Linked DNA regions of Danio rerio. The main gene of each other region encodes a partner of the protein of the gene in region 4 in a complex. Links are inferred from orthologs where the notes say so. Each region holds a gene or a part of one and is shown on either strand. Other genes may lie near its edges.

Evidence for each region. The genes of interacting proteins can lie anywhere in the genome.
Region 1: wdr5 (region 4) and tada2a share a complex: the UniProt entries of both Homo sapiens proteins name them as parts of the ADA2A-containing complex. The link is inferred for Danio rerio from reciprocal best matches to the Homo sapiens genes WDR5 and TADA2A.
Region 2: wdr5 (region 4) and kansl2 share a complex: the UniProt entries of both Homo sapiens proteins name them as parts of the NSL complex. The link is inferred for Danio rerio from reciprocal best matches to the Homo sapiens genes WDR5 and KANSL2.
Region 3: wdr5 (region 4) and dr1 share a complex: the UniProt entries of both Homo sapiens proteins name them as parts of the ADA2A-containing complex. The link is inferred for Danio rerio from reciprocal best matches to the Homo sapiens genes WDR5 and DR1.

Annotation. Positions count from the first base shown.
Region 1 is NC_133190.1:18,240,101-18,244,768, forward strand, and holds part of tada2a (transcriptional adapter 2-alpha), read left to right. Parts: intron 1-1,352; coding exon 1,353-1,463; intron 1,464-1,756; coding exon 1,757-1,828; intron 1,829-4,231; coding exon 4,232-4,364; intron 4,365-4,668. UniProt on the Homo sapiens protein: Component of the ATAC complex, a complex with histone acetyltransferase activity on histones H3 and H4. Required for the function of some acidic activation domains, which activate transcription from a distant site. Binds double-stranded DNA.
Region 2 is NC_133198.1:27,545,914-27,549,764, reverse strand, and holds the end of kansl2 (KAT8 regulatory NSL complex subunit 2), read right to left. Parts: intron 3,524-3,851; coding exon 3,357-3,523; intron 2,626-3,356; coding exon 2,535-2,625; intron 1,606-2,534; exon of another isoform or gene 1,468-1,605; intron 1,370-1,467; coding exon 1,110-1,369; 3' UTR 1,069-1,109; downstream 1-1,068. UniProt on the Homo sapiens protein: Non-catalytic component of the NSL histone acetyltransferase complex, a multiprotein complex that mediates histone H4 acetylation at 'Lys-5'- and 'Lys-8' (H4K5ac and H4K8ac) at transcription start sites and promotes transcription initiation.
Region 3 is NC_133181.1:26,450,148-26,454,815, forward strand, and holds part of dr1 (protein Dr1), read right to left. Parts: intron 860-4,668; coding exon 696-859; intron 1-695. UniProt on the Homo sapiens protein: The association of the DR1/DRAP1 heterodimer with TBP results in a functional repression of both activated and basal transcription of class II genes.
Region 4 is NC_133196.1:19,694,582-19,699,000, reverse strand, and holds the end of wdr5 (WD repeat-containing protein 5), read right to left. Parts: intron 2,878-4,419; coding exon 2,777-2,877; 3' UTR 1,358-2,776; downstream 1-1,357.

The sequences.
Region 1 (4,668 bases), on a different chromosome or scaffold from region 4:
CATTAACTTACTATTTACCTGTGATAAGGCTGTAATCAAAATCAGGGAACACCTTTTTTTTTTAGGGTTGAGGCTTGTGACTATGTTTACATGGACATCAGTAAACTAATTATTTGCCTTTATCTGAATAAGACGATAATAAGATTAAGATGTTTACATGAGTTGGTTTTTGAATGTTCCTTTCATGATCCCATTTTACATGTCATAGCACAAGGATTGATTAACGTCATTGCATCACCAGTTTTTCACCATAGTTTTTCAACTGTACCTGCAGTTTGTCAGTTTCACTTTTATTTAGCAACATATTGTTCATGCCCCATAAAAAACTGAGGTATCGGAGGCGAATATGAAGTAAGGACTGCTGGAAGAGTGTAGTTTTAATGGATTTTGATACCGCACACCGAATGGGAAAAAAATAAAATTAAATTGTGACGCGGGTGTCTGTGTTCCTTTAGGGTTATCAAAAGTTTCTGTTTACATGGTGAACTCTTAATCAGAGTATTGTCTGAATCATATTAAAATCGGAGTATTGGTGTCCTTGTAAATGTACTTAGTAAAAGTGCCAGAAGATGTTGCAAGCTGCATTCCTCTGCCTTTAATTTCATTCGCTGTGTCCTCAAATGTTTCACGTGTTTCCCCTTACACGCACATTTATATATTAAACTAATTTATTGCATTCTGAAAATGTCAGAAACAAACACAACAAACTTGCCTAAAACTCAAAATGGCATACAGCAACAAAAGGCAAACTGTTAGGAGGATCAGTTACTGAAATGCTTCATTGGTTGCTGAATGATGTTTTTAACTAGTCATGCAGTTTACACAACAATCCATATTCTAGTGCGCAAATTTAAAAGTGAACGTAAAATGCATGAGTCAACAGATTTGTCTGTATTTTCAATTTTGTCTCCTTTTTGTGGCGATCAAAATGTATCTATTAGGCAATCTAATAAGCAGCTAAACGCCACTTGCCTTTGACAGCAAAAGCCACTATATCCCGAGAACCAATCAGAAGGTGCGAATCCAATCCTGTTTTCAATGTAGCAGCGCACTGATACGCCGGCTTTATGAGGACTGTTTTTTTCCGCTTTCGATGTAGATTTTAAAGGGCACCTATGGTAAAAAAAAATCTACTTTTCAAGCTGTTTGGACAGATGTGTAAGTATAGTGTATAGACCGTCATATTGGGATGATATAAACACACACAGTCCTTTTTTTTTTTTCAATTTAACAACAAAAACGGTGGACCAATTGGAGCGGTTTCTTAGAGCGACCGCAACTTGCCGTAGGAGTGCGGTCCCCCCGCCCACCAATATTGATTGATTAATTCTGTGCATCTACTGTGTTGTCAGTTCTGGAGAGGCGTTATCCCAAGGAAGTGCAGGACCTTTATGATGTCATGAGACGCTTTGCGCGTGTGGTGGGACCAATAGAGCACGACAAGTTCATCGAGAGTCACACCTGTGAGTATTTAACCCTCTTTTCAACCACTCGATATAGAGAAATCCAGAACACTGCTGTTACCGGACTCGCTAGTTTACCAGACTTCAGCTGACCTGAGATCAATCTAGCCCTGTGTGTCTTTGTGGTTCAGTGAGTGTGTGCAGGACAGCTAGATTTAGACGAACAAGCCCTCATGTCATTCAGCAGCACTCAGTCTGAGTTCAGTCTGTCCGCCCCACTAGTCTGAATCAGCCAGGGTGAAAAGTTCAGCGCTCCATCTGCTCTGTTTCTCTCTGTCATCAACTGTTCACAGTGGAGTTTGAGCTGCGGAGGGAGATCCACAGACTGCAGGAGTACAGGAGCGAGGGAATACAGTCCTTCTGCGGTAAGATGCACCCTCAATCACAAGCATATCATAGGAGGTAACATAAATCAGAGTGCCACGGTGCTATTTTTAAGCTTTCAAAATTAGGTTTTTCATTCACTAAGGAGAAAAATCACTTTCGTTTTATCATTATATACACTCACCGGCCGCTTTATTGGGTACATATAAAATGTATTAGTATCGGGTTGGACCCCCTTTTGCCTACAGAACTGCCTTAATCCTTCATGGAATAGGTTCAACAAGGTACTTAAAATATCTCTTAGAGAATGTGGTCTTTATTGACATGATAGCATCGCGCAGGTGCTGAAGATTTGTCACTGATGCGAATTTCCCATTCCACCACATCCCAAAAGGCTCCATTAGATTGAGGTCTGGTGACTGTGGAGGACAATGTGAACTCATTGTCATGTTCAAGAAACCAGTCTGAGATGACTCACGCTTTATGACATGGTGCATTATCCTGCTGGAAGTAGCCATCAGAAGAGGGGTACACTGTGGTCATAAAGGGATGAACATGGCCTGCAACAATACTCGGGTTGGCTGTGGCGTTGACACAATGCTCAATTGGTACTGGTGTGCCCAAAGTGTGCCAAGAAAATATCCCCCACATCATTACACCACCACCAGCAGCCTGAACCATTGATACAAGGCAGAATGGATCTATGCTTTCATGTTGTTGACGCCAATTTCTGACCCTACCATTCAAATATCCTCCGATGGTTGTGCTTGAAAATCCCAGGAGATCAACAGTTTCTGAAATACTCAGACTAGCTCATCTGGCACCAACAACCATGCTACATTCACAGTCACTTAATTTTTTTTCCCCCATTCTGTTGCTTAGTTTGAACTGCAGCAGATCGTCTTGACCATGTCTACATGCCTAAATACGTTGAGTTGCTGCCATGTGATTGGCTAATTTAAAATTATGGGTTAACGTACAGTTGAACAGGTATACCTAATAAAGTGGTCGGTATGTTGTAGTCTCAGCTCATTTCACACAGTTAATAAAATAGATGGTTCATTAATGCAGTTTTTTTAAACCCCCTTTGTTATGTTCTGATTGGTCAGATGTCATGAAAAGTCATAAGTACGGGATACTACACACCATGCACTTACTCACTGTGTACTTATGTACTTACACACATAGTGTATGAATTTAGTGCCAGTATTTTACTAACCAGAAATTCAAACCGTTTCCCAAATGACATTTGACGGTTGCCAACTTAGTAATGACCAAATAGTACCTGTCATGAGTATAACCACATTCACCAATGGTGAACACATTGGAGCACTTTTTTGACAGTGGTTCCTTTCAATATAATCCAGAATTCAGAACAGTACAAGGTAAAAAAAAAGTTAATAAATGTGAAAATATACACAGCTATAAAGTATATAGAGTTATTAAATGATACGCAAAGTCTTATAATTAATTATAAACAATATGTGACTAGTATTGAGTTGAGAAAGTAACATTCAAGTTGTCAGAAAATTCTTAAATGTGCCATAGAATGACATTTTGGATATACCTAGGCATAGCTGAATAATAAGAGTTCATGGAAATTACATATCATGAGCCTCAAATATCAATGTGTTATTGTTCTCCAACAAATCCTGTGAGTGCAAAATCCCAGTGAAAATCCGGCCAATTGGAACAAAACACAAACTCTGACAATCCACACAGAATCAATTAAATGAACGCCCCAGGCAGTGTTTGATTGGCCACAACGTTTTCTAGTGAGATTACATCAATTATTATTTTCCCCTTATTTTTAACTTTATATAAGCTTGTATTAAACATACTATGCATGTGGGTCTCTTGTTTTGAAAATAGGAACAGGCAGGGAGATTAAAAAAGGAACAGTTTAGTGAAGTAGGCAGCTATGCATGACCACTAAGTGCTCACAACTTGTCAGAAAGCAAAATGCAGGATATACGGATTAAAAACGTATTCAGCACCACCTTGAAGAGGCATAAGGTCTGTTTAACTCCTCTCTTTTGTTAGTTTAAAGTATATAATTCGCTGTGTATATTTGTGATGAGGCAACAAACACACGTATACTGAGTAAAAGTGCTTAAAGATTGTTTCTGGAGATTTATTTTTTTGCTTACCTGAGCCACAAACCTGTTATTTAGATATCAGTGAACAATTTTCACTCCTTTACATTTTTACAAATGTTTAGAAAAGATCAACTTAAAATTTTTTGTGGATGGTAATTCCAAATCATGTAGAGGCAGTTTAAATTAGAACACAGTCAACAAGTGATGATTTAAGCAGAATCAAGCACTATCTCATCTGAATATGGTCCATACGCTCTGACCACAGCTTTTTGATAATGCTAGCCAGATCTCACATACAGAGATCTATGTTCATATCTGAAGTGACACCTGTCATCTGGTCTGCAGGTGCTAAAGTCTATGAGCGAGTGAAACGCACACGAGAGGATGAGCGCAGGAAGAGGAACATGCTTTGTGACGTCCTGCAGTACATTCATGACACCCGCGCCTGCCAGCAGTGGCTGCACAAACAAGCTGCCATGTAAGATCTCTTCCTCACTCACTCACAATACTGCTTCCTTTATGTTAAAATGTATTATTACATGAGTCATGAATCCCCCTGCCTCAGTGCTGCTTAGTTTTCAGCACAGTTTGGAAAAATGCTAAAATAAGGAGTGTTAGCACAAATTGAGTTCATGGATGTAAACTCCTCATCTTTTTTTACATTTTTGAGATCAAAATGGGTATGGCTGGGCGATTTGGCTTAAAATAAAACTCTTGATTAATTGAACATTTTACCTCAATTAATTTTAATAAACGATTATTTTATATATATTTATATAAAA
Region 2 (3,851 bases), on a different chromosome or scaffold from region 4:
TAGAATCAAATAGCATTAATGCTAAGATTAACGTATAATGTATGGTATTAAGAAATTGCTAAATATTATATTTACAGTATTAATAAATTCTTATTATAAAGACTCCAAAAAGGTGAACCATGTGTAAAATGTTTCTATGAACTGATTAAAAATAACAATATAGATTGATGACTAAAATGATCTTAATATCCATATATTGTGCACTTTTTTATTCATTTATTATATTAGCTATAATATATAGTTTTTGCAACAGCTTATATTTTCAAAAAGGCTACTAAATTGTATTCTAACAGTGCCCTAATCTGAATAAGACAATAATATGATTAAGGCGTTTACACATGTTGCTTTTTGCATGTTCCTTTCATGATCTGGTTTTACATGTTATAGCACATAATTTGATTAACGAAAAGTCCTACATGATAAGTTTAAGGTCTTTACATGTCTGTACTGTACTTCAATAATGCGACTAAAATTGGCATACTTAACATGTCTTAATCTGATTTTTCTTTAGCTCAATTATGACCTTAATCAGGTTGATCAAAAATTGCTTTTTTCCATGTTAGACTTTTAATCAGAGTATTGTCTTAATCATATTAAAATCTGATTATTAGCGTCCATGTATACGTACTCACTGACTGAGTACACTGGTCTAACAACCAGCCCAATTAATCAGTAAAACATCAAAATTGGTTTTGCAAACAGGCATCGGGGAAAATACATAAATAAATTATGCAATGCAGCATAACAGGCAAATTAAACGTTTCCAAAAATGAGATTAAATGAGGTTTTTACTGTGGGCACACACAAAATGTCAGACACAAAATTAGAGGAAGATGACAGTTGAACATTCAGATTAATTTGTTGTTCATTCATGTAAGAGTATGGGATATGATTTACACAGCGGGGGACGTGTTTGAGCAGCACTGTTTGCAGGCATGTAGATACATGATGGATACCTCAGCGAAGCAAGGTGTTCTGGAGAACAAATTTAGTGCAGATGCCGATTTAATTATTCTGATGATACCCAACTTATGAAGGGATGTGCCAAAAACACATGAGGAGAGTGACTGCACACATTGACTTGTTTTAATGAGAAAAAGCAACACAAATCATACATCACTGAATTCCAGAGGTAGATTTTCTGTTGGCTGGAGCTCGGCGGCACTGAGGTACATGTCTGTGGGCGCAGACGCCAGCTGCTCCGGGGCGAGAGACTCCTGCTCGGGCTGGTACATGGGTGGAGGCAGGGACAGGTGTAGAGGACAGCGGGGCTCCTCCGACTGTCCCATGTGGACAGGACGATCGCATGGGACGTCCTTAAGACCAGGGCACAGCTTGAATAAAACTTGGCTGCTGTCTTGGTAAATGTCTGTGGTGGGGTGTTAAGGAGATTTGGAGAACTAGCACTGGGGAAAAAAAGTGTCTTAATGTCAAAGATATGGAAGGTGGGAAGAGGTGGAGAACTTAAAATGTTCCTTCAAAATGAAATCGACTTAACCCATCAGATCATTTTGGGAAAGTCAACAGACCTTAAGAAGTGTTTTGTGTCAGCCGCTGTTTGAAACCAACAGCTACAGCAAGCTGCGGGCCTTGATTCAGGGCTACAAAATACTACCTAACTGGTGCACAGGTGCACATTGGCGATAAAAATAAAAAATGCAGATCTGATATGGTACTAGAAAAGCACTTTTGCATGCAAGATTTAATTCACTTGGATGCAATTCAAATAGTGTAGAACACAGGATCGTGCAAATTTGCAATGCTTGTGGTTTGGTGAAAATGTAAAATAAGCTGGTCTTGGTGTGCGCAGGACCACCTGAAAAGGGTGGTCTGGTGAAAAGTTCACAGATCTCTGGGACAGTTAATATAGCACCAAACCATGGAAGTGAGAAGCTATTAATTACGTACAAAATGGTCAAATTGGTTAGTATTTGTGAGTTTAATTGCTTACTGACACAAATAACTGATGTGCTGTTTATCTAATTACTGCACAACTAAAAAAGTGGAAAAAATTACAGTTCATTTGAACTCGTTATGAACAGACACGTGTGCTGCTCAGTCTTAGCATGCTGATAAACTACTTTTCTGAGTACAAATTTGAGAGGCAGGTAGGGAGGGAATCAAATGAACTTTGCTGTAATTAGGTAATTGAGCCTAATGTAAAAGCATCAGCTGATCACACGGCCCTATATATATATATATACTTATATATATAATATATATATACTTATATATATATATAATGCAGTCTATGAAATAAATTATATTTTAAAGTGTATTATATTAGAAAAAAATATTATGTAAACTTGCATGCATCATTTCATAATATATTATAAAATGATGCATACATATTTACATGATAAATATATTGCTGTTATTCTCAAGCAAATAAATACAGCCTTGCTATCATTTGATTTTTCTTAAACATCAAAGAAATGTTACCAACCCCAAAAATTAAACAGAAAAGACTTTACTACTTAACAGAAAAAAAAACTGAACATAAGAGTCAGAGAAACACAAGACATAAAGGATACGAGAGACACAATGTCTTGTCATTGGCAGACACTGATTTGAACAGCGTGTCCCTTCCACAAAGGAAATGCACCTCTGGCCTAAACGCATTGCCTGTGAAGAAAAAAAAATGACGACATTAAAGACATTAAAAATAACAATAAAAAGTGAGGACGATTCAATTGAATTCAGTTGTCTTTCAAATGAGATTGCGGAGCTTTAAATTGGTTATTTTAAACATTCAAATTCACAATGGCCATGACACATTAAGCTGTCAGTGACCATCTGTTGAGTTAGTTTTTGCACTGTGGTCTACAAATCTGCTTTAGTTAGGCTCAGGTTGCTGAACATTGGGCGTGTTGAATAAGCCTCAAGGCCATTGGTGACACAGATCGCTCTGAATGGCTTTTTAGAACAAAACAATAAAACGTAATGCAAGCAAAACATAAGATGCCAATGATAAAAGGCCCTTTTAATGTTACATTATCCCCCCATGCATTCCAATATATCAGTATCATAGCATGAGCACATGAAATGAAAAAAACTGATGACTATGTTCAAAATGGTAAACGAACACTGCTTTGTTTACTTTTTTATATATGCAGTCATTGTTTTGCTTTCACTTTTTTTTTTATTCATTGATATCCGTTGATACAGACAAAGAAAGTTTTTTTTTTTTCCTTTCACACAGGATGCACCTGTGATCATCACCTGCAGTGCTACTGTTGTGTTCAAGAAAAGCTTTTTGGCCCAAATAGAGGCAAAACAAAGACACAACATTTGCTTTAGTCCCTTCTAATTTTTGACATCAGATTGATGCATTATGGTTTAAAGTCCATCCATACCTGTGTCGGTCCTCCTTCAGTGATTGCTTGTCTTCGTTCTCTGAGCTGACGGTGCAGCAAAGCCTCCACACCATAACGACGCCGATAACGCCGCAAAGCCTTTAACTTCTTTAAGTTCTCCCTTTCCTTCATAGATAGCCCTTCTGGACCAGTTAACAGGCTGCTCCCTGAATCACAAAAACAGACCTGAGTGTGTTTGTGTGTTTATACATGCATGTATATGTAGTAGGCTAAAAACATAAATAAATAAATATAAACACACACACATATATATATATATATATATATATATATATATATATATATATATATATATATATATATATATATATATATATATAAATATATATTTATGTATATATGTATATATGTATATGTTTATATATATGTATATGTTTATATATATATATATATATATATATATATATATATATATATATATAAACACACACACACACACACATATATATATATACACACAAACAACAGCAGTCT
Region 3 (4,668 bases), on a different chromosome or scaffold from region 4:
AGAAAAAGCAATGATCCAGTTACAGAATTCTAGTTCCACTGTTATTACAGCCTATTCTCGTGTCTGTGTTAACACAAAATGAAGCGAGTGCATCGATGCCCATTCTGGCCAATCACAGACATTTCTGTTGAGCTCCTGAGCACACGTTCAGCTCATGCTGATATGCTCTCCCTCATTGGCTGCAGCTCATCACTTCATATGAACGCGCGTGGGGTCGAGTCGGCCGACTGCTCTGGAATATTCAGCATGCTAGATATTGTATTTCTGTCTGCGAGGTGTCATCAAGCCTTTTTGATCCGTTATTCAGTAGTTCATAAATAAGACTGCAGAGCGCCGAGCACCAGGAAATTGTTTTTCCCGATCACAGTCCGATCTGTCAGCAAGCTCGTTAACTTTCAAATCGGGCTCAAATCAGGCTTAAAATCCTTTAGTGTGAACTAGGCTTAAGAGTCCATAAAAAATCTCCAGTAACACCAAAAAAAGTTGCTAGATTTTTTGTTAGTCGCTTTTTTTTTTTTTTGGAATATTTGCCGCTAAGGGGGTCTGAAAAGTCACTAAGTTGGCAACACTGGTGATTTAATGTAATTTGTGTACCTTTTTGCATTAAAAAAAAAAAAAAAAAAAAAACGAGAAGGCACCAACTGCTAAGCTAAGAGTGAAATCTTTAGAATTAACCATTCGGCATGCATTTTTACCTTAGCAAATAATTCCTGTTGTTGGCGGAGAAGTTCTTCCTCGGGAATGCCAAGGTTCTCTAGTCGAGAGCTGGCCTTTCTTCTTTTAAGTGCTACAGTTTTACACTCCTGCAGAACGTCTTTTACTTCTGCGATGTATGACCCAAATCCTAGACTTTCCAGTGCTTAAAAAAGAAGAACACATATAATGTTATTTAAGAAAAAAAGTATATTTAAGTGAAAAATTGTAACTACAGTGAAAATATTCACTGTAAATATTCACAAAAAATATTTTTCAGAACAGGAAAACAATTACATCCATCCATATGCTCCGTAGAAGCGAACTTCAAGGGATAGTTCACACAAAAATAAAAATAAAATTTGCTTAGTTAAAAGGCTGTTTCAATCCACCCTCTGTGATGTATATTATTTATTTTGGTAACAAGTAGCCACTGATATACATAGTAAGAAAATATAAATACTACGGAAACTAATGACTACCGGTTACCAACATTTTAAAAAATAGATTTTTGCATTCAGTTGACAAAACTAAAGGGTTTAGAATAAGTGAAAAATAACTTATTTTAGACTGAATATTGTAGACATTGATACAGTTGGTCAAAAATTTGAGATTCGAACTAAAGGCTTTGAGATTCAAACTAAAGGCTTTGATATACTTTAAGTGAAGTAAATTGAAAAACTGATGTGGCAAAAAATAAATCAGGTCAAAACAGAGTTTGTGTGGTATTTGCTTTATGAGGCCAAAGCAGCTTGTCATTGTAAACTTCCCAGAAGATTTGCTTCAGCTGGTAAACACCTTCCCAACAACATTTTCTCCGGCAGTTATGTAAATCTGCATGTAGTTTGACTAGGAAATTTGTTCTAGTTCATTTCCAAAAGTAGTAACAATCAATACAGAGATGCTTGTCAGTAGAATTTGATGTAAAATTATAATTAACAGCAAGACTGACAGTTTTCTCCATTCTATGCAGTTTTAATAGCAATCATCTGCATAACGTTCAATAAAAATAAGCATGACTTTACTGGCGTCCTCAAAATGAGTGCTAACAGCCACATTGTTTTGTTAAATGCTGATTTCTCACTTCATAATTTAAACAAACTGACCTAAATATTCTGTAATGTTCCGACAAAACACTGTTCAGGTGTTTATCAAATTTGTTTTACACAATTTTCTCACTTGTAGACCATGTGTATTGTTTGGGGGGAAAAGGGGTTACTGCTTTTACTATGTATCAATTTCTTCTAGGTTGAATTTGAAGATTAAGCTAATATCAGCTAGTCTAAATCAGTGTTTCTCAATGCCGTGCCCCACCAGTCCGAACATTTTGCATACTCTTATTTAACACACCTGATCTTGATAACCAGCTCGTTAAATAAGCTCCATGCATCAACCATGTTAGAATTAACAGGTCTCCACACAGTGTGCATTACTCCCTACTCGCTTTTTCTTCATTGAGCTCTACCTGAGCACAAAATACATTTATTTCACTTCGGAACACTCATTCACAGATTTGCACAATAGCATTGCCTAAATGCCTGCAGAGTCTTCTTACTTGAGATGTGACATGCCTACATAAATATATTGTACAATACATTTACATATCACACATTGAAACTTCCTTTGAATAAAATATATATGCTGTCTTCAAAAATAAAACATGGCATAATATCCTCTAAAGTCACTTTGCAGGGAACTTGTCAAATAAGAACAAGTGTCTGAAGTGAAAAGAAAACCATAAGAAACGTGCAGTTCAGTGGGCACAAGAAACAGGATTGTGAAATCAGTCCAGAGCTTCTTAATCTTGGCTCTGGAGGTGCAGTGTCCTGCAGATTTTAGCTCCAACCCAAATCTAATGGGGCTGGCTAATCAAGCTCTTAATAGGCTTTCTAGAAACATCCTTTTTTTGGAGCTAAAATCTGCAGGACACCGGATCTCCAAGATAGAGTATAAGAACCCCTGCGCTATTCTATATCAAAGTCCCTTTAAGTCAGGGGTGTCCAAACTCAATTCCTCGAGGGCCGCAGCTCTGCATCATTTAGCTCCAACCACTTCCAACTCACACCTGCTTAATAGTCTATAGTAGTCTTGAACACCTTGTTTATTTTAATCAGCTGTTTAATTAGGGTTGAAACAAAACTGTGCAAAGCTGTGGCCCTCCAGGAAACCAGTTTGAGACCTATTCTTCAAGGCAAGTCAGTTCACTCTGCAGCCATCTTTGAAACGCCTCTTGGGCACTATGCTCAGGCATTCTGTCTGAATATGGATACATCCAATTATAAAAAATTGCTTGCCAAGCTTAGGATTAAATTTCATATTAGGAATTACAATAAAATTAAACAATAACGGTGTCTTTAGTTTTAGTTCTAAAACGTTCTAATCACACAAAATCTTCAGAAACTCATGGCTGTTCCGAATCCCTCCCACAGAGGGAGTTAGTCTATAGTCTATAGCGATAGCTGATATAGAATAGCGATAGCTGATTGGCTCCTGTACTAGAAGGCAGGGCTTCATTCACCATGAAACTACACAAGTGACAGGTTGTGTAGTCTATAGTCTTTGTCTATATGCACATATCTTATCATACCCTTTAAGGCAGGGGTCTCAAACTCAATTTACCTGGGGGCCGCAGGAGGCAAAGTCTGGGTGAGGCTGGGCCGCATAAGGGATTTCACAAAAAAAGTCCTCAAATGTCATTATTAACAGTTTTAATTATTTCTTCTGAACATGAAGTGTCCTGGACATTAATAGAACATTGAGTGAAGATTATGAACAGTTCTTCTGAACATGGCATCTTTTGCCTACTTCTTGCGGCCAGAGACTTGACAGCGCTTATTCTCACAAATCTTATATATGTATATATGTGTATATATATATATGTATAAATAAAACACCCCCACCCCACTCCAGTCACATCAGTCTGTACCAGTCTGTATCTACCTATAATATATACAAGATGCAGGCTGTAGCTAGGTAGGTGGCAGGCTGCAGATAGGTAGCTAAGTGGCAGGCAGGGGCGGGAACAGCTTACCTTGGTTCTGGCCGGCACGAGTTCCCTCCCTGCCTGGTTTATACTTCTGCGTCAAGTGACCGGCGCAACTCACGGCGCAGGCAACGCGCGCAGCTGTGCATTTAAAGTATAAATGCGCAGAAGTATAAATGCACAGCTGCGCGCGTTGCCTGCGCCGTGAGTTGCGCCGGTCACTTGACGCAGAAGTATAAACCAGGCTTCTGCGCGCTGTCTCTGTTGGTCTGCATTAACACTTCCGAAACGCTAGTGGGCAGTGAGGTGTAAATGTTCCTCTGTGTCGAGTTTCTTCGCTTCTGTTTTGCTATTCTGAACACTTCCTGGATGTACAAGTGACTCAAACTCGCTCATTTTGAGGCAGGAACCGGCGGACGTGCAATAACTTTTACCATGAGGTAAACACAGAACAAAACTTTCCATCCGGAGCTCCTTCACAGGACTCCACACTTGTAAACAATCGCTCGCGCCATTCTCGCGGCTCTCGGTCCCGCCCAGACTCGTCGGCGCTAGCAAGCCGACCAATCACAGAGCTTGCGCTACGCGTCGTTACAACGTGTAGTTACAATTTTTGAGAGGTGCACGTCAGTGACGGCGACGGCCACGGCGAAGGGCTATGCGTCAGCGACGTAGCCTACGCCGGTGTTTGACTCAGAAGTAAAAATCAACACTTCCCGCCCGTCACAGCGTCTAACAAAGGGGCGGGGTGCGTGGTGACGTCACCAGCATCCCCGCCCCTTTGTTTACACGGCAGGCGGGGAATGCCAGTGACCGCTGTGTACGGATAGAATCAGCGGTCGGCGCGGGCCACAAAATATTGCACTGAGGGCCGCAAATGGCACGCGGGCCGCGAGTTTGAGACCCCTGTTTAAGGTGAATTGTTTTCTCACCACAAACCTAGGGCTTGGCGATAAAACCATATTTATTGTAATAATTTTTCCCTCTGTAAA
Region 4 (4,419 bases):
GTCAAAAGTTTCTAGATTATGTTCTTCACACTAGGAAAACATTGTTCGCCAATTTATTAATTAGTTAGGTTCTTTTAAGAACCAAAATGAGCATGACTGGGGTTTTGGGGCTGCATCTTCAAAATAACATAAAATCATCATACTAGAGAAAATGAGCAAAAAGCTTTGAAATGGACCGTAAGGGGTTGTCCAACTTGTCTCTGACAATTGGGGCGTATTTAATGAGTGAGGTACACAGCCTACAATAAATACCTAGAAGTTTCTGTAAATTAATAATGACATTTTCTAGCATATTTTATAAGATAAAGGTCAAACAAATATAAATTTACCTTAATTAGTACATCTGTGGTGACGCAGTGGCACAGTGGGTAGCCCTCTCACCTCACAGCAAGAAGGTCGCTGGTTCGAGCCTCGGCTGAATCAGTTGGCATTTCTCTGCGGTGTTTGCACATAGAACGTTCCATGTTTACGTGGGTAACCTCCGGGTGATCCGGTTTCCCCCACAAGACATGCGGTATAGGTGAATTCGTTAAGCTAAATTGTCCGAAGTGACAATTCAGTTTCCCAGTGATGGAGATTCAAAGGGCATCTGCTGCGTAAAACATATGCTGGATAAGTTGGCGGTTCATTCCGCTCTGGCGACCCCATATTAATAAAAGGACAAGTCAAAAAGAAAATATATGAATGAATGAATAGTACATCTGTGCAAATGTGTCCCCCTTACCCCTTATCTTCTAGATCAGTCCATCAATCAAATCAGATGAAAAGTTAGTGTTAAAAACAAATCGTTTATTCATTATTTCTAGTTGGGAATTCATTTTTAGTAAACAAATCTTTTAAAATGTAGAGATTGTGTTAAGATAAACATGTGAAAGCAAGTGATAAGACAACTAAGTAAATAAATAAATACAAAGTGTACATAACACTGTAGGACTTCCAGGTCTCGAGGCTTGAATTGTTTAGGGCCCCAAATGACTAAATCCAGTAATGGTCCTGGAGGGCCGGTGTCTTGGAGACTTTAGCTCCAACCCAAATCAAACACACCTGAACGGGGTCATCAAGTTTTTACTAAATATACTAGCATGTGCGTTGAAGCAAGTTGGAGCTAATTTCAGCAGGACACCAACCCTACAGGATCATGCTTGGACACCCCTGGACCAGATAATTTGAGGGATCCTGCGTTTCTTTATGGAAGAATGGCCTCTTTCCAAATTTTCCCAAACTCGTCAAGCATTAAAGAAAAGTCTGAGCTTTTATCTTGGAAAGTGACTACTGAATTAAGGGGTACCAATAATTGTCTCCAACATGTATCGAATGAAAACTATTTTTCTAAATGCACGGATGATGTTGCACTGACACAGGTAAAAAAATCTTTATTGAGTCACAGGTCATGTCCAAAGTGACTAAATGCAATACAGATACAATTCCTCATGCGGCCCTTGTCATCACTGCAGTGCACCGGAAATCCAACCAAAAACAAAAGACCAGAGTCCAAATGCAGAAGATGGGTTTATGCCAAACCATCATCCACATCAAGCAGGAAAAACAAAACACGCTCGAAGGACTATCAGCTACTTGAGACGGTTAATAAGACCACAGAACAGAGGTAAACGTACTGAACAGAGAAGCTGCAAGTATGTACAAAGTGTGTCAGGTACAGAAAACATCTCAAGGCTCTAAATACATCGAGACTGCTTTTGGTCACAAGATATAGGATTATGGCATATTCAGTTCCCAGCAACACTCCTCCTTGCATAAGTTAATTAAAACTGGATATTTCCTTTATCATATTGTTCAGTAATAATTTTTTTTCTTCCATTAAACCAATATTTTCACTGAACGCTCTGACCGAACTGCTACTCCATCCCGATGTATTGTACAGTTTTATTTTTCAAAAGCACCAAAACTTATATAAACAGGTGTTACAGGTAAATACAAGTGTAGCAATAAAGTGTACTTTTGGCATACATTATGTGTGTATCTGCGAAAAGCCTTTATAACGAAAGAGTAGTTTTATTGTTAGCACTGCCTAGACCACATTGAGCCACTGAAAGCCACTGAAAACCATAAACAACTAGCTTAGCAACTATTACACAAATGAATGGTTTTAATTGCTGCTTTGTCATCTGCAATTGTGCGCTGTACAGAAATGAACATGAAATAGTGAATGTTCAAAACATTTAGATAACATTTCATACATGGGAGGTTTGATTTGACATCAGTACACGTCAAGGTAAGTCTTTGAGGCGTTCACAGCAGTTTGAGAGACATGTTTTCAGCCAAATAATGGAGTGAAGCTGCAAATCGCTCCTAGAAATGCAGGCATTGAAATGTAATACTTCAAACATTTCTGTTAAAATGGCCACTTAAAATGTGCCCAAGGCGTTCTGCTGGCTTCAGAAAGTGTGCAAACAACTGATAGAGACACAAGTGTCTTTTCTACAAAACTTACAGAAATAAAAAGACACGAACACACTTTTTGTCCTAATAGGTTTGTGGAGTTTAAAACAAAGCTGCCTAAATTTACAGACTGGTTTAATGTTTTGCTGGACGCTTAAACTGGTGAAAAAGCTGTCGGCAAGGCAGAGGGAAAGTGATAGTTTTAGTGCACAGAGAGGGCACCGTGTTAGGACAGGGTGTGTTGGGGAAGGGCGCTTTCATCAGTCTTCTTGCCTAGCATGACTTCTCAAATGAAAAACGAGTCTCTCCCCCCCACCAAATGAATAGTACAAAATTAAAAAAAGAACAAAATATTAAAGTAAATTACGCTTCAGGCTTAGCAGTCGCTTTTCCAAAGTTTGATGGTTTTGTCGTTTTCTAGTGCTGCTGATGCAATGATGTTTTCTGTGGGGTGACAAGCGGTTGAGATCACCACATCTGCAAACAACAAAACATACCCATTAATATATATACAGCTGTGAAAAAACATCACTCGAAAATTTCTCGATTTATTGGATTTTTATTAGATATATAATTGAAATCCAATAAATCTACATAAGCAAAATAAGTACTTAGACCCAATCCTATTTTTGTACCCCTTCCCCTTGGCCCCCTGAAATAAAGTGTGAAGAGAAAGGGCTTCAAAATTTACCCCTAAGAAATGGGACGGCACTACAGCACCTGTACACATCATCATATGTCGTCGCGATCTCATGCTTCAATCGTGACTGCTGTAATGATTCTAGTTGCTTTATTTTTTTGGTATTTATCTTCAGGAAATCACTGAAGGTATATATTATGTTATCATAACGATCTAATGTGGCAATAAAATCGTAACAGTACTGTGCATTTACACCCTGGCCATGTTCATCAATGTAAACACACCAAAAACAACATTAACATTATAGCAGACACTGTAAAACGGTCATTCCTAGCCACTAGACTCTTCTGACAGGGTATTCGAGTGTCAGAATGTTGTGGGACTGCTATACAGGAGTTATTATAGATAGCGAAATTTAGCGTTTTTTATTTTAGCTTTTAAAAAAAAGAGAGAGAAAAAAAACACAGTTATGAATATATTAAAACCTGTGCTTGTTTGTTGTAAAAGTTAAAAATAACGACAATAAATTACTAATACTAATTTGTGGATCTCTTTACTTCCGGGTGCAGCTATACTGCCGTTGTGGCTGGTGTATTCTGGGAAATTTTCTTCCCCTTAGTTTCGAGTTTGGTCCTAAAAAAAATTTCCATTCGAAGGGGCATCTACCCCTTGCCCTTATCCCTATGCCTTCAAGCTAAAGAGACTTGAGTAATAGAAAGGGCTAAAGGGTAGAATTGGACCTTAAAGTTAAAGGTTCATGAAACACCAAAACACATTTTTTGTTATGTTGACAGTCATATATGTGTTCTAATAAACACTATAGACACATATTTCACAAAAAAAAAGTGATGGTTGTTTTTGCTTTATTTTAAGCAAATTTGTTTTCTCAGATTTGAAACTAATTTTTGAAGCTACGTCATGGCAATTAGATCCTTATGTGTAATCCAGCATGGAGAGTGGATGTCTGTACTGGCAAATACATCCGAGTCCGAATGTGCAGCATTAATTCATGAGAAAGACTTGGTTCAAACCAATTAGCGCGCTCTATTGTGAATGAGGTGCAACTTAATTAATATGCACGATAGCTTCGAAGACTGTTTTTACCTAATAGAATGTTCAGACTGCAGAGAGACACCACGTTGTGTTGCCAAAAAAATGGAAAAACAAGAATTGTTTGGAGACATGGGTTGTCAGTGCTTTTTTTTAGAAATGTGCTGCAACAAAGGTTTTGTTTCAATTTCGTGCTATGAGAGTGCAGCTGGACTCACTTGTGGTTTACAATTCATGCGACAGAAATATATTTGTAAGGAACATTTTTTACCTGAAAGCTTTTCGCATAAGGAAATGGGGAAATCTGGATTTGCCACTTGTATCCTTTT